Linked DNA regions of Drosophila melanogaster. The protein of the gene in region 2 purifies or fractionates together with the protein of the main gene of each other region. This does not show direct contact. Each region holds a gene or a part of one and is shown on either strand. Other genes may lie near its edges.

Evidence for each region. The genes of interacting proteins can lie anywhere in the genome.
Region 1: the proteins of CG7546 (region 2) and Iru purify together in Drosophila melanogaster (affinity purification with western blotting, with the first as the bait; one study listed by BioGRID). This does not show direct contact.

The regions. Positions count from the first base shown.
Region 1 is NT_033777.3:9,003,645-9,010,122, reverse strand, and holds Iru (iruka), read right to left. Parts: upstream 3,668-6,478; 5' UTR 3,410-3,667; coding exon 2,267-3,409; 3' UTR 2,093-2,266; downstream 1-2,092. Other genes in the region: CG11983 (uncharacterized protein), read right to left, coding at 131-1,159, 1,218-1,409, 1,493-1,537; Prosbeta3 (proteasome beta3 subunit), read left to right, coding at 4,052-4,669; CG11980 (uncharacterized protein), read right to left, coding at 4,873-5,614, 5,672-5,984, 6,048-6,072. UniProt on the Drosophila melanogaster protein: E3 ubiquitin-protein ligase that mediates E2-dependent, 'Lys-48'- and/or 'Lys-63'-linked polyubiquitination of substrates. Recognizes miRNA-empty Ago1 and triggers its degradation via polyubiquitination independently of the Bag6 complex.
Region 2 is NT_037436.4:7,507,788-7,517,794, reverse strand, and holds CG7546 (uncharacterized protein), read right to left. Parts: upstream 6,810-10,007; 5' UTR 6,419-6,809; coding exon 6,353-6,418; exon of another isoform or gene 6,285-6,352; coding exon 6,167-6,284; exon of another isoform or gene 6,091-6,166; coding exon 5,879-6,090; exon of another isoform or gene 5,826-5,878; coding exon of another isoform or gene 5,823-5,825; coding exon 5,067-5,822; exon of another isoform or gene 5,010-5,066; coding exon 4,403-5,009; intron 4,273-4,402; coding exon 4,174-4,272; intron 3,978-4,173; coding exon 3,441-3,977; intron 3,147-3,440; coding exon 2,214-3,146; intron 2,155-2,213; coding exon 2,018-2,154; intron 1,970-2,017; coding exon 1,745-1,969; intron 1,680-1,744; coding exon 1,329-1,679; 3' UTR 479-1,328; downstream 1-478.

The DNA of each region.
Region 1 (6,478 bases), on a different chromosome or scaffold from region 2:
GGTTCAATCGAAAATCATTGTCTCATTGCTTAGAATCATTCGTAAATACTAGTATTATCCTGAGGGTCATAGTTTCTCGCATCTTAATAACTATATTGATATTTTAAAACTGAAAATCGGTAAATTGTCCTTAAACTTCGAATTTTGAGACCTCCAAGGGTGGCAGATTGTCCAGATCATATGCGCTCTGGATTCCTCTAGGTCTAAGGCAGAACAAGTGCTCAACAGCCTGCTTGATCTCCAGCTCGGAGCAATATGGATTGACCATGACAATGGAGTGCGCCAGCATCTTGGCTAGCTTCTTGAACAGAAATCGATTGGCGATAAGGCCCTCCTCCAGGGGAGACATCAAATGACGTACAATCCATGGGCGAATACGAAGCAAGCAGCTGGCCAGCAGAACTTCGTCCACTAAATCAATTGACGGGCTGGATAACTGGTTTGCGAACTCATCATCGCTGTCTTCGCCAAAAATCAGGTGAAACTTATATCTCAAGCGGTCCTCGCACCGCCAATCCGCTTCCAGTAAGCGAACTAAACAGGCATTGAGACGCCTCCTCTGGGCGTAGAGTTCGCAAGGCCAGCGACTCTGGCGAAGATCCACCTCGCTGTGATGCCCAGTTGGTGGTGTGGCGGTTGGGGATGTGGGTGGATGCTCAATTTTTTCAGGTAGTTCCGCATTCGCTATTTCCTTTAGTATGGCCGAGATCTGCGGATCGTCAGTAACAGCAGTTGGTTCGATGCCGAATATATGATTAAGATCAGTAGGCTCTTCTCCAAACAACATGGCCAACTCCTGGGCCACAGCATCTTCGGTTTCGGAGTAGAGAGATTCTTGATTGGCTAGGGGCTTATTCTCTGGGGTCATGATCTTACTACGGCAATGTGGGCAATGCGTTTCGTTCTGAACTTCCGACCGTTCGAGACTAGCCTGAAACATATCGATTTTTCTACGCAGCTCATAGCTATCATCATCGTAGTCCTCCGTAGGAGTTATGTGGCCATTCTGGGCTTCTATGACGGTTGTTTGTGTGGCCTTATCCACCAGACGGTGGTCTGTTTTTACGGGCACAGCATCCTCTCCAGCTGCATGCTGCATTTGTTCAAATAGAATGTTGGCCAAACGGCATTCCTGAGTGTTCCTACGTACCGCAGCTATCTGTCGGTATACAACTTATATGAACATGGCATAATATATGTATCTGGGAACCTTGTACCGTTTTGACCATGGCTCTTTGGTAGATCTGTGCCGCCATGGAAGCCTTCTTCGCCTTGTTCTCCAGTTGCTCCAAGCTCGCGGGAATGCACGCCCAGGCTGTGGGCTTGTGGCGATTACGGGATTGGTTGGCCCAGGCGCAGACATTCTCCTGCAGCTGGCGCTCCAAATAGAGCACATATTGCTTGCGCACCTACGCAAAATAAACAAAAAAGTTCGGAAATAAACAAAAGTCTTCCCCAACAAATATTACATAGTTGGCTTGCTAAGACATACCACGTCGGTGAGCACCACAAAATCGTTACTTCCTTCGTGTGTCATATTATTTCGTTGGTCACGGCGTTATATTCTTCACTTCAATTGACTTTACGCATTTTGGCGGAGTTCTTAAACGGTTAAGTCAGATTTTCAGTCAAATGGGAATTTAAACAATTTGACGGAGCTGCCACCCTGTGAGGAACATATGCTTCCCGGAATAGTATGACCAGACCGTGTGAGCCAATAAGCTTCCTTTAGAACTTTTCGAAGTTTACAACCAGGATCAGACGAGACAGTAAAAAAATAAACAATAAAAATTGAAGTGTATCCACCTGAAAAACAAAAACACCGTTTACTTGTTGTCAATAAAGTTTAAGAATAATATCAAGTTTGAAGTCTAGACTACAATAGATGTTTATTTTAGAAAGTATTTTAATTTTACACGTTCGAGCTGCATGTTATTGAAATAATTCATTAAAGGAATTTCTTGAGGCAAGCACAGAGTCAGTTCCTATTTTGATTATGTAAATATACACGACACGCATATATGTACAATACAAGTTCCATTACAAAGAAAAATAAGCAACTACGCGATACGATAAACGAGAGTTGATTTTTGCAGAGCCAACGGAATCGTATGTCCCGTTTTGTTTATTACAAATCGTTATTTTGAACAACAACAAAATTAAGCGTGAGGAGAAACTATTATAAATATATATGCGGCCAATATTTGGCTTAATTTTGAATATCAATCGATCATCGCTCCACTTCGATTTAGCATCGCCCTACCAGCTAGTCCAGAAACATGTTGTCGTCGTCAAAGGTAAAGATGTTGTTGCGTGCTGCCTGGGCGGGATTAGCATCCGGACGTGTTCGGCCGCCTTCCGCCGCTGCCTGACTGGGATTATTAGCCGGCGAGGGATTGTCCGTTCCTGTGGCGGTGCTGGCCGATCTCCTTTCGGAATTACTGCCATCGGCCGCCATCTCTGGTCCGAAGGCATCGAGCATGACAAATTCGTCGTCCGCATCGTTGCCATCGTCTGCCAGTGACTTGCGGCATATGGGGCAGGTGCTGTGCAGGTTTAGCCAAGGCACGATGCAGTTCTCGTGATACAGGTGCGAGCAGGGCAGCTTGCGTACCGTCTCGTCAATCTTGAAGTCGTCCCAGCATATAGAGCACTGGATCTTGCGGTTTACCTCCTCGGCATTGATCTGCACATTGGGTATCTCGTTTATGCGCTGCGCCGACAATGGCGGCGGTCCTGAAGTTTCCATTTGGTTGAGCATTTGGGTGACAATGGTGTCTAGTCCCTCTCGGCCCCACGCATAATCTCCCGGGTTTCCCATGAAGAACATGTGCGAGTTACCGCCGCCGCCTACACCTCCTCCACCGGGTCCAGTTACTATTTCGGCCGTGGCGCCGGCCAGTGGCAGGCTCTGCAGAAAATCAAAGAGAACATTGTCCAGTCGGTCCAAATTTGCCGGACGCACTCGTCCGCCGGCGGTCAGGCCGCGGGCAGAGTCACTACCCGAGGGACCACCAAAGCCGCCTAGATGCAGCACGTTGCTGTGCCGTCTGTTTGGCTCGATGGTAATTTCCAAGTTGGGCACATTCCGCATGTTTAGCAGCGACACAATATCGTTACGCAGCGACTCAACATTCACCTGAGATCCGCTCGATGAGCTGCCTCTGCTCAGGGTGTCGTGTGAGCCAGAAGAGCCACTACCGCTGCTTCCGGATCTGGCACTGCCGGATGCTCCAGCCGTCGAAGAATCCATCTCCGGCGCATTTGCCGGCAGCTCCTCCACGAAACCGTTGGCGCACAGCGGACAGGTGAAGTCTGAGTTGGGAATGTTGATCTCCACGTTGCACATGTGGCAGAAGAATCGCTTGGCTTCCGCGGGGCGGTCCTCCACAACCATTGCCTCTGCCATCCTGCGGTAGGTTCTTTATTTCCTGGGCAACGGCTCCACTGACGATTGTGCAAGACTGTCGCCTTCCGATGATGTAGGCTGCTTGCGGCTGTAGACGTTGATGTGACAAGAGGAGGACAAGGTACACGCGCCTAGCTTTACCCGGTCATTGGGTTCAGTCGGAACAATTGGGAGTTTAAGGGATAGAATTTAATTTTTCTATAAATAAGGGCCCCTTACAAAGTGGCCTTTGCCGCAGAGGAGAATAAATCCCAACTGATTGACGCGGCCTGGTCACACTGAAAGCTAATACTGGCATATTAACATTTGGATCTTTTATTACTTCAAAAGGATCCAAATGATAAGAAAAATGCGTTTTAACATTCGCGGAGATATTTTTGCATTTTTAAACATTTTATAACTTTAACTTGTGTTTAAAAATACTAATACTTAAAAAATACTTAAAAAACGCGATTCTTTTTGAAATCTCTTTAGTAGGCGTTGCCAGTTCTATACAGCCAGTCAGTATTAGCCCATCTTACACTCGCAGTCTGGCAACGCAGAGCAGAAACAAAAAGTCATCTTCCCAGGCGGCTTTTAGCATTTTGCAAAATTTCCATTTTTCTGCTGATTAAATTGAGCTAAGCGAATAGCAACGACACCATGTCGATTCTAGCCTACAACGGAGGATGTGTAGTGGCCATGCGCGGAAAGGACTGCGTGGCGATTGCCACGGATCACCGATTCGGCATTCAGGCTCAGACGATCTCCACGGACTTCAAGAAGGTGTTCCACATCGGCCCACGGATGTTCCTCGGGCTCACAGGCCTGCAGACGGACATCCTTACTGTTCGCGATCGCCTGATGTTCCGCAAGAATCTGTACGAGACACGCGAAAACCGTGAAATGTGTCCCAAGCCCTTCTCGGCCATGATGTCCAGCTTTCTGTACGAGCACCGCTTTGGCCCGTACTTCATTGAGCCGGTCGTTGCTGGCCTGGATCCCAAGACCATGGAGCCTTTTATCTGCAACATGGACCTGATCGGCTGCCCCAACGCACCCGATGACTTCGTTGTGGCCGGCACCTGTGCGGAGCAATTGTATGGCATGTGCGAAACCCTGTGGAAACCCGATCTCGAGCCGGACCAGCTGTTTGAGGTCATCGCCCAGTCCATTGTGAACGCATTCGATCGCGACGCCATGAGCGGTTGGGGTGCCACCGTCTACATTATCGAGAAGGACAAGATCACGGAGCGCACACTGAAGACCCGCATGGACTAGATGATGTTAGAGGTTCCCTTGGTGATTTTGTATACATTAACCGAAATACACATACAAATAAAATTTGTTTAGGTACAACATGTGCGTATTTCTTTTCCGTATAACGTAATAACACCAGAATTAAATGCGTAATAACACCAGAATTAAATGCGATCTAATTATTGTTTTTCAATTTCAAAAGCATAACTTTAAGTCGTATTATATTATTGCTCTTCTGTCCACTCGGTGGATTTCTTGGCCAACAACATGGCAGCCTCCTCGGTTTTTGCCCCGCCAATAAATCCTGTGTGATGGATGAATTCGAGATCTTTGATGCTCGCCTTATCGCATAGTTCATCGTCCATCAGTCCGCGCCAAGGAGTGGGCAGAAATTTGCGGCCCAGATAGCTGCCAGGCGTCACTGGAACTCCGGCCACTCGCCAACTATTGCCGCTGTTGAAGACGACCAGCTTGGGCACACCCTCCACCTTGTACTCCTTTTCAAGATCGAACAGATGAGACTTCCAGGGGCAGAAATTCTTCAACACAAGAATCTCGCCGGTGGGATGGACGTTCTTGGCATTTTTAAGAGCCTCTCGTACGTGATCCCGGGCTGGAATCCAGGAACATGATACCTCCACAACGTTGTCCACAAACTCACGACCTGCAGTATCCATCGCCTGTCTGAATCGGTCTTCGATGTCTACGCCAGTTTCCTGCCAGGACGGATTCAGTTTGGCAATGCGGGCAGATAGATGAGTGGAGATTTTGTATATAGGCTCAACGCCCTCGAACATGGGCACTCCATTATCAATTGCGTCCAGTTCGTTGATAAAATTCCTATAGATCTGAATAAAGGCCGTTTGCAGGTTTTCCGGTGAGAGTTTAATTCCCTTTTCGCGCTGCAGGATGCTCTGTATAACACGCTCGCCATAGTGACAGTAGACCAGTCCAGCACTGCTTAGCCTGGAGGGGATTACATTGGATTATACGGGTTCATTTACGCTAACACCACGAATTCACCTGACAACGTTGTAGTCCTCGCTTACATCTGGGCGAACGGAACTAAAAGTCTCCTTGAAGGTTATTTGGTGGTGATCGTACAATTTCTTGGCATGATCATAAACGCCGCCCACGTCGACAATTATATCGCACTTCTCCTTCAAAGCCTTGTTGTCCCGACTGCGGAAAATCTCTGCGTTTTTGTACTCATCCAATTGCTTGAGCATAAAACATGCGACCAACTCGTCGCAGTGAAAAGTGCCGCTGTGTGTGCCGATCCAAAGGGGAGAGCGTTTTGGTGGGGTAACTCCAGTCATTATAGATAGTTTTCCTGCTTCAAAACATTCAGTTAAGCCCAGATATTTCAATTAATTTCGGATTGTAACCAAAAACTTACGAAAACGAGGTAACAATCGGAACATTAGCGACGGTCTTTTCCTCCATTTAATATCGATATCACAAGTTTTTATAACTTGATATGGCAACACGCGTTCAGCTTAAATATATAAAAACTGCAGCGTGGCAGCACTGGTAACGGTTTTTTAAGCCGCAAACAATTAACAACATTTTAATTAAATACGTTTTATAGGCAAGTTGGATTTTAATATAATAATATATGAAAATTCAGTGAAATCTGTACCAAGCACTGCCAGCTTATCAAAGAACTTCGCCCCACACCAATCGATTGCATGGGCGTTTGTGCTTATCCAATAAATTAGCATTCGCTTGCTAATTTGTAAAACAACAACTCATAGGGACCACATCAATTTTTTGGCTGCTTAGTAGAGAATTATTGGCTGAAAATTTTAGTAAGCCTTTGGAACTCAA
Region 2 (10,007 bases):
AATGTTTCAATTAATAATATTCCTCTCGTAATTGAACTACTTCCTGTTTTAGATCTGTTAATAAATGGGATAAACTCTTCTTTTATGAACATATTTTCCGAATTCCACAGTTTTTCCTATCAAATAATGTCCATATCTCTGGAAGGTTTTTTTAAATAAACTGTTTATAGTTTTCAAATTGTCATGATTCTTATGAATATATCTAACATAAATTTATTAGAACGCACGCAGAATAATTTTCTAAGAATTGCAGATAGTTATTTAAATTATGATCTAAACTGGCAGCTTGGAATAAACTAAAATGTTAAACTCTTTAGCACAGCAACTGCCGAGCTTAGCAGATGCCAATTGTGGTGTTACAGTGCTGAACCGCACTGTAATCAATAACTGTAGGTACGAAAATATACCTCGATTACGTAGCCAATCTATTTTTGGCGCCCAATCATCTCGAGTAAATATTTAAAGAAAAGCGGCAAATATTTATAATTATTATTTATTCATATGTTTTCTTTTCTTTACGGCTTCTTGGTATTTCTTTTTGTTTTTATTTTATTTTTTTTGCACATAAATATTCTCAACATTTTTATGTGACACATTTTCGTGTTTCGATTGCAGGCGACAACAATAACAAGAGTAGCGTAGGCTTCGGACTTCGATGACGATGAAATGGGATGGTGCGGGTTGCTGGTACGATGGGATGGTGTGGATATGCCTCCGGTAATGCTTCTGCTGAAGGCTTATCCACTTGAATAGATCTGCACATTCCGGATTGGTCGTCATCGGCCGTCCAGCAATCATGTGCCATCGGCTCACGTCAATGGCGATTTGGCGCCGGCCAAAATACTTGGCTGGAATTCGGAATTTGGCTGTCGTCACGGGTCTACGGGTCTGTTCTGATTTTGCAGCACGTCATCCGACGCGGGGACGCCACCGCCATTTGGGACAATTGAAAGCATTCCGCTCGGTGTGTGGTCTAATATCCAAGTCCATTTAATCCAATTCCAATCGCCATTGTTTCGGTTAATATGTGTGTTTATTTTGCTCATTCATGCACCGCAAAAATTGTTTTTGATTGGGCTCTGTTGCGTCTTGACCCATTGTGTGTGTGTATCTCTGTGTGTGTGTGGATAAATATCAGTTGGATATTATTATTCTAAATAGTTTGAAGCATTTGCTAAGGGTCCACTCCGTGTGTTGGTGTTGTCGCAATCTTCGTCGTCTTCTCGATTTAAACAGAACTTAACCATTAACTAAATTAAATACAATTTATTAAAGTAAAATGTACAAGAAGCATTAGGTGGCCAGGCTTCCGTCTCCGTATCTGCCCCCTACTTTTGCTCGGTGAACTTGGCAATCTGCGGATACTTGCTGGTCTTAAAATCCACATCCCGCTCGGTACGCTCTTTTAAACTATTGCGCACCGCATCCGTGTAGGCGGCCTGAATGGTGGAGTCGTGAGCAATGGATCCGATTACGGTATCCATACTGATCGACGCGTTTAAGGCGCTACCACCATTGCTTCCACCCAAGCCGACGCTCTGGATAGCCCTCTGCACTCCATTAGCAATGAGACACTCCACGCTGGCAGTCGGCTTTTCCGACTGAATTATCTTGCGGCGCTTGGCGGACATGCCCGAGATGTAGGCATCCGAGAAGGGCGGCTGGGGACGATTACTCTGCTGCAGGATACATAGATTGAGACATAGTTTAGTGTAATTCCAGAAAGTTGTACGGAATAACCTACCTCTGCCTGGGTCTGTAGGTCGCGCGTTATCACAGGCAACCAATCATTGGGGAAACTCATGTGCCAAGGCTCTGAGCCCACAATCACAGCTGGTAGCTCGTCTGCCGGTGAACTGTTGCTGCCGCTGGCGGTCACTTCGGACATCTCAACATCCGTGTCCAGAGTTTGCTCTTGCAGCTGCTGCTGTTGTGGGTTGAAAGCAAAAGGAGGCGGCGCCACAAATGGCTATTAGTGCATAAGTTTCTGGGCATGGAAAATAGTTTGGAAACCTACCTCGTCGGCAGCTGTTGGAGGAGCTGCTTGAATGCTGCGCAAGACCAGGAACTGTTGGGCATCCACTGTGTCAGTTTGGGCGGGAATCGTGGGGTCTATGTAGATGCACAAAAACTGCAGGGCTTCGTTGCGGAAGTCTGCAAAAGAAATATTGAGTTAACCAGTATACTTACGATCACTTTTGGTGTCAACTTACTGGATCGCATCGGTGCGCAAAGGAGGCGCATTAGCTGGCGCCAATAGAGCTCCGCATTCGCGCTTCCAAGGCACAGGAAGAGAACGCTGTATAGCCGCTTGCGGAATTGGTCACAAATCTGTTTGAGACTTTGCTCGAATTGAGCACTATCTACACCGGCCGGAGCTCCATTACAAAGCTCGATGATCAAACGGAGGCTGACACGCAGGATGTTGCACACAGAGTCGCGCGAGTTGTACTCCGGACGCTCGTACTGCGGCAGGTAGACCAGGCTCTCCCCGAACCAGTCTAGTGCGCGACCAATGGCCCCCGGAATAGTCTGCTCGTTGATGGGTACTCCGACAAACAGGCTGTCGTTGAGGAAGGTGCGCAGTTGCGAACGCAGGTTGTTCGAGTCTCCGCGAGGAGTGGGTGTGGATGTCGGCAAAACAGTTTGTAGCGGAGCAGCTGGCGTGGTTGAAGCAATTGGGGCAGCTTCTCCTGATGGTGAGGCGGCCGTATCTCCGACGGCGGCAACTGCACTGCCTACCGAAGCTGTTGGCGCATTATTTCTCATATTATTAATCAAAAAATTAGCGAGTTGGGTGGGTAAATGTCTGGACAGGCGACTGGTGGCGGCCTGTAGTCGCCCCCTTCGGCCAGAGGGCAAGCCTCCGTTGGTGCTGCCACCGCCAACGTGGGCCGTTCGAGTCGCCAGCCGATCACGATTGATGGTCGATCCTCCAACGGGCCGCACTCTCCCGGCTCCGACTCCGGCCCCATTGGTACTGCCAGCACCAACGTGGGCACTTGGTATATGAGTTGTTTGGGTCTGCGCCTGCGCCCAGGCTGCCGGTCCCAGGTTGCTTAGTTGCTCGCTGGCTGGTCGCTGGCGACGCGACGACCACATTGGGCGGATTGTGTTACTGCCGCGTTGGATGCGACCAGTGGTGACTAAATGATGATATGGATAAAATGGAAATTAATGTCAGAGATGGAGGCCAGTCGGAGGTCGAGATAGCAAATAAATAGTTCTTTAGTATAGTTAACTATTAAATTTTGTAAAAATTTTAAAATCGTATAGCATTTAAAGATTTATCGCGCCCTGATCCGACAGGTTTTTGATACACTTGGCTTTCCATCTCCGGTTGGTGAGTGTGCAAATGAAATGGATTGGTGGATTGGCGAAATGGATCGTGGACATAAGGTAGTGTTTGCTAGATTTCCCCGGATGGGAGCCGTACTCACCAGGACGAGTTACTGCAGCAGATGTGGGCGGAACAACGGTGGCTCCTCCTGCTGGTGCTGTCGAGGTGCTGCGACTGGTACTGTTGTTTTGGAGCAGCTGCTCTGGTTCCCGAATGTGATGACTATTGCAAGGCAGAAAGCGGTCGAATGCCGTGTGTGTCGGAGCAATGCGTCCGCCCCAGTTGTTGTTTCCGCCAATCTGAATCTGTGGTCTTGATGTCGAGCGCGTTTGGGTGGCCGTGGTGGGCAAGGTATTGGCCCTCTGATCGCCACTGCGTGTTCCACTTGATGTTGAAGCTGCATTTGGAGACTCTCCATTGCCCGACGCAGGCGCACTTTCAGGGGAGGAGGATTCGGACGCAGACTGATCTGCTGTTTCGTTCGATCCAGCTGCCGGAGCCTGTCGCACGGTCGTCATCACATGCACGGGCAAGTTAATCGACATGACGTTGGGGGCATTGAATTCCACATGGATATCGTTCGGTCGTTGACCATTGACCATTGCCTGAATAATTCGGGCCATTTCCAATTGGGGATCTGTAAAGCAGCAGTAACAGCTCTTTGAAGCGTTCAGTATAGCAAGGGTTAATTTGTTTAGGGCCGGGTCAGTAAAAGAATCAAACTAGCAAAGTGAAAGTGAAACCAAAGTAGGGATGCAGTGAGTGAGCAGCTAAGATTATGGTTAGTCTGCCATGACTGAGGCGTTGGATTCAACCGAACAATCAAAACATACTGGGCGGTGGCAAAGTCACTGGCACATAGACACGCAGCCTAGGCACTGGTCGGGTTTCTCGTTCGGGAGTTTCACTTTGAGCTTGATCGTGGTCGTGATCTAGAATATTTTCAACAAATAATACGGGAATATTTACGATTCAGAGACACGAATTCCTTGTCTAAGGCCATGAGTGAATTTGATTTTGCACAGCCTCATCTGCATACAGTGTTTGTATAAAGTTTCTTACCCATTTCGAGACGCTGTTGCTCTTGTGCTAGTGTTTCAGCACCTGCAGCATTTGGCCCCACCATAGGCTCGTCGATGGGATCCTCTACTTGATCACTGGATAAATCGCGAGCGGCGGCGGCAGCCGCATTCGCAGCTCCAGCAGCCGCACTGGCAGCTCCGGCAGCCATTTCCGCAGCGGCTCCAGCAGCTCGACTGGCGATCTCCGCCATGGCCGCTGCACTGCGACTGGCATCGGTGGCCGCCTGCAAATTGGCAGCCTGCGAAGGTGCCACAGCAGTTGGAGTGCCCGCGCTGGTGGGCGTTTGAGTGCCCGCTGTGGTGGCCGTTTGAGTGCCAGCTGCAGAGGCAGAACCAGGTGCTCTATTGCGGAAAGGCTCGTTGATAATACCCGAGGGCGGTGCCAAAAAGTTGGGCGTGAAGATGTTATTGGAGCGTATGTAACCGCTCTGCTCAACGAGAATGGGTCGGCAGGTGAGCACACGTGGCCCTGGCTGCGACAGGTCAAGCATTAAATCGGATATAGCGTGCTGGGCGTGCGAAAGGTAGTGGAAAGCCTCCGAGACGCGATCGAAGATGCGCTGTGCGTTCTCGCGACCATCGGTGTCCTAAAAAAGGAATTTAATGTTTTAATAGGCTTATAAGAGCTCGGCTTATTAACTTACACTCTCCTCAAAAGTGGGATCATTCTGGAGAATCTCATAGTACCGATCAACAAAAGGCGCCAAGCGAGCCTGTACGCCACGATAGTGCTGAATAACTTGGGCCAACACCTGAGGACGAGTGCGTCGCCTGGGTCCTGAGTTGTTGCCGCCTTCGGCAGCCGCGTCATTTGCTGATCCAACCGAGGATGTGGGAGTCTCTGCTGCAGTGACTTGCTGGCCACCAACTGCTCCTTCCGCCTCCGGCTCTGGTGTTGGCGTGACCGAACGATCTGATGCTCCATCGGCCACTTCGTCGTCCGTTTCGATAACATCCTCGATAATCACAGTAGCAGCTGTGGTTTCACCACTAGCATTACTTGCAGCTCCACTGGCTGCTCCCTCACTTGTTATAGCTTCGGCTGTTCTCTGCTGGCTCGTCTCGCCATTCTCATTGGTATAAACCGTGGGCAGCTGAACCACCGTATAGTTGCGTGCTCCTGTATGCGAAAGAGCAGCGGTCACGGCATCTTGGACCATATCGATGATGTTATTGTTGCGTGGCAGATCAGTCGAGGAGACACCTACTTCCACGACTGTGGACTCCATCGACCAGCGACCGCGCTGCAGAATGTCCAGTGATTGATTGTTCAGGCCAACGGCAGGATTTTCCAGATAAGCTGCTATATTGTCAGCGCAATCGATCATGTGCAGGGCGACCGTGATGCGGTTAATGCAGAAGGACGACGAGTTGGGATAACGATTCGGTGGAGGACGTGTCTGCTAAGATACGTTTAAATACGCGTGTTGAAAGAGCTTTCATCTTAATGGCTTACCCCAGCTACTGGACCATTGTTCACCGGTATGGCCATGGTGCCCACCAGCATTCCATCGAGGGCGCGGAAGTACGGAGAAGTACGCATTCCGGGCGGCGGCGGACGTGCCACATTGCGGAAGGTTCGCATGGGTTCATCATTGTTGCGGGCATTGGCTCCGCGCTGCGAGAATGGTGGTCGTTCGGCCACATGGAGCACCTTGCCATCCACATCTGCATGGGCATTGATATTGTTGTATTAGATATAAGTGCATATATATATGTGGGTGCTCCCGGGGGCATGACTCACCATATTCCTTCACCTGCTTATCATCGACCAGAACGCGACCCTGGTAGATGATACGCTGGTTTTCCGCCGCAATGTTAGTCTTCTCGGCTATTTGGTCCTTGAACTGGCGGATGGTGAGCTGGAAATGGGTGGGGTGCATGGATATAAAGAAGCCCCTAGACCTGGACACACAACCTCAAACATTACCTCATTGTCGATGCTGAATTCGTGGATGCGCGCATCTAAGGTCTTCACCTTAAGGTTTATGAGCATTTTCCGGCCGGACTGCGTCGCAAATCAATTGAAAATCTCGTTTTTCTTTCGGTTTTCCCCGTGCCGTGCAAAAAAACAGTCGAAAAGGGTTCGTTGGTGGAGGGGGGAAGGCGGGGAATCTTGTCGGTGTCGCTGTCACCTGCTCTCTCGCTCGCACTCGCTGTCGTTGGCCTTTGGCTTTTCCGGACACGTTTTCGCACTGCTCAACTAGCGGTAAATATGTATACGTTTTCACTGATCTCCGCCTGCTTTCGGATCGGGCAAATATATGCTGGGCTTCTATGCTAACGCGCCGAGCGACTTTGCAATTCAACAACAGCAGTGGACGAGAATAATTACTGGAATTTGACAGTGTGGCAGTGTTGCCAACTCTCGGAGTGAAAGAGCAGCCAAATGCCATCTTGTAAAAAGCTAAACTAGCAGGTATTGATAAATAAATTCCGTTTTAAAGCAAAAATTAAGCGATCTGTCAAAAATGATATGTATTGTATGGAGCAGTTGAAAATTATTTTATTGAGTTTGGTAACGATTACAAAAATTGGAATATGCAGATAAATAACCTTTTTTCTGAAGCTTAAAATATATTATAACAAAAATATATTATAACAACTTGTCTTAAGATTAAAATATAATATATTATATTAATTTGTCTGAAGTTTAAAATATAATAGCTGCATATGTCTACAAAATAGATAAGTTGCCAGCTCAGCATATAGTACACAAAATGTCCTAAAATACCCAAATTATTATTTCAGTGGCAAACACAAAGAAGAATACAGCACTGTTAGCATTGACTCAAACCAGAGTGCACGAATTTTTTTCTTGTCTGGCAGCCCTAAAAACCACTTAGGCGGTTCTTTTGAATTTGTACTAAATATATTAATCTGTTTTATTTATATTGTTTTTGAACATTCTTTGCTATCCTAACCTAACCGAAAGGTATAATATCTCCAGGGAATTGCCTAGACTCTTGCCCACAATGTAAAGCGTGTGGGGCATGAGCGAGATGAGCGCTATAAAAACGTTTAAAGAACTGCACATGTGAAATACAATTCACCCATCAACCTTTTCGCCCCTAACCCCACACCAACCCTTAATCACCCCACCGCCTTTGACTGCATCCTGTGGGAATTTTTGGGCACTGCACATGAAAAGCGGCGTTTGAATAATAAAGAAAAGAAAACACGGAAAACAGGGGAAAGTCAGCCAAGACGCAAAGGTGTAGGGCAACTTTTCGCTTTGAATATTTAAGTGGCGCTGTGGCATCGGTAGTGGAAGTAAAATAAGCAGAAGGCTGCGAAGGAAAGCCAACCGCAGCTAACACAATTTTTCGCATACCCCTTGCCGGAATTGTGCGGAAATTTGATTTAATGTCTGCGATTGTGAGCCTTTCCACGGGCTCAAAGTGATTGCGACGAGCCCTTATTTTCCGGACTGAAAAGATGCCACGGAAATGGGCAGTGGCAGATTGCCGAGTGCACCATTCTCTTTGAGGATTTTTTTTTTTTTTAACTGAGTTTTTAGCAAGCAATTGAATGATTAATTACAGTATTTTCAAAAAAATACCTTGCTTAAAGTTTGTAGATTTTTTTTTTAATAATAAAAGATGTTTTTGTAAGCTTGTTGTCAGGATATATGCTATGTTTAAATGTTTGATTCCCAATTAAGCATTTTGAGAAAATTGATGTACAAATTACAAACAGTTAATTGTATTAAAATGCTCAGCCTACATTTCGCTTACAATATGGATTATGCTTGGCGTGAAAGTATAAATAATAATTATTAACGTTTTTCACCGACTTTGCGCGGTCCAAGTGCAAGTTTTACAATTTACAAATTGCTTTTAAATGGGCTGTGAAAAGTTTTAATGAGTTTTCCACGCAGCCGTCCTTCATCTAAGCGCCCAGTACATTCCGCCCACCGCCTTGTCAACGATTTCTGTTTATGCATTTTCATTTTCATTATCATTCCCTTTTTTTCGACCAGCACTGCCCTCTCGTTTTCCGCTTTCCATTTGTTATTAAGCTAACGCTTTCCGTTACTTTTTATTACTTTTTTGCACCAAAAGTTTTTCCTGTCACAGTGGGTGGGCGTGGCACTACATTGAAAGTGTTTTTTTTTTTTTGTTGTTGTGGGCGGGGGCAAAGGTCGCCTTATGAAATTATATCAATCGGGCAGATTGATAAGTCGCTGCTCTTGGCAGCTGGTAAATGACATTTGCTTTTTCCAATTGTTCATATTTTCATTAAGCAACATTTGAATTTTCCCGAATGTAACCTGTAATCGCTTCACTTCAGAATCAGAATTAGAAATGTATTCAAGTACGAGTTTCCGCATTGCATGGCTACATTTCTAATTTCGGTCTGGTCAAGAACAGGGCCCCAGAGCAAGTCTCACGTCAAATTAAATCAAGCTGTAATATAAAGAAAATTGAAGCCAAGTCCCCTTTGTGCCATAAACTACGGATGGCCAAGGAGCATGCGGTGTGGGGGAAAATGAGACTGGCCTTGGTGTGCGAGTGGGTGGGGTGGTTTCCGCAGCTGATTGGCAATATAACACCAAGGAACCTTAGCATTCATGGCGGAATTTAACCCGTGTGCCAGTAGTTCAGATTCAACAGAGTTTTGTGGTTAATATTTTATTTCTCTCGTAATTTATAATATAGAAATTTGTTCAAACAAGTGCTTATCAAAATATGTACCTAAATATCACCAATGTACTGAAGAAATTTATGTTTATTACAAATATACACATTAAATCTTTAAACAAATGAACAACCACTTGTAATTGCCAGTATATAAATTCGACCTGCTAAATGGCAACTGCACTGGCCTCATAAATACAAGCGCCAACTAACCGTGCCAATTTATGGTCAACACTTAATCTAAGCTGTCAATGTGGATGCAACACCAGCGGTAAGAACTACAAAACTTGGCCAACAGAGGAGTGTGTGTAGTGGGTGACTAGTGGCTAGTATCGTAATTGGCGGGGATTACGACAAAACGTAAAAGTGCAGAACGGCATGTGAATGCGGAAGTCGAACTCGCAATTGGCCAAAGTGAAGAAGTCGTAAAGTTTTAGTTGCATTCTGCCGTCTTCGCCTCCGAATTGGACGCTTAATTTATGTTTCAATTCCAATTAGCCAGCGAGGCGCGGGCTTTTATGTTACTATTCCTTCTTTTCGCTTTCGAGTGCACAGAGAAAAATTTCCTTTTTGGTATTAGGTTAAGTGCTAAAATAAATTCGTATCATGAATTAAATACTCTAGTGTTTTAAATGGCTACTTATACATATGGTTTGGTGCTTAATGTAGGTTTTTCTTTATTGAGCAGTATAATGGCGTACTTTTTATTGCTCCCACTTTCAAGCAGCAGACTTATTGAAATTTTTTTTTTTAATTTCAAAAAAATCTACGTACTATTTCATTCATCCAAAATAGGTTAGAGGGAAGATCATTTCCCACCGTGCTCCCTGGTAATTGACTTTCGGCCTGGCCCTGACGCGTCATTTGTAATTGTATATCAGCACGAGGAGCGACGAGAATGGCGGCGTTTATTAGCCATGGCCAAATGCAGCTAATTGAAGTTCA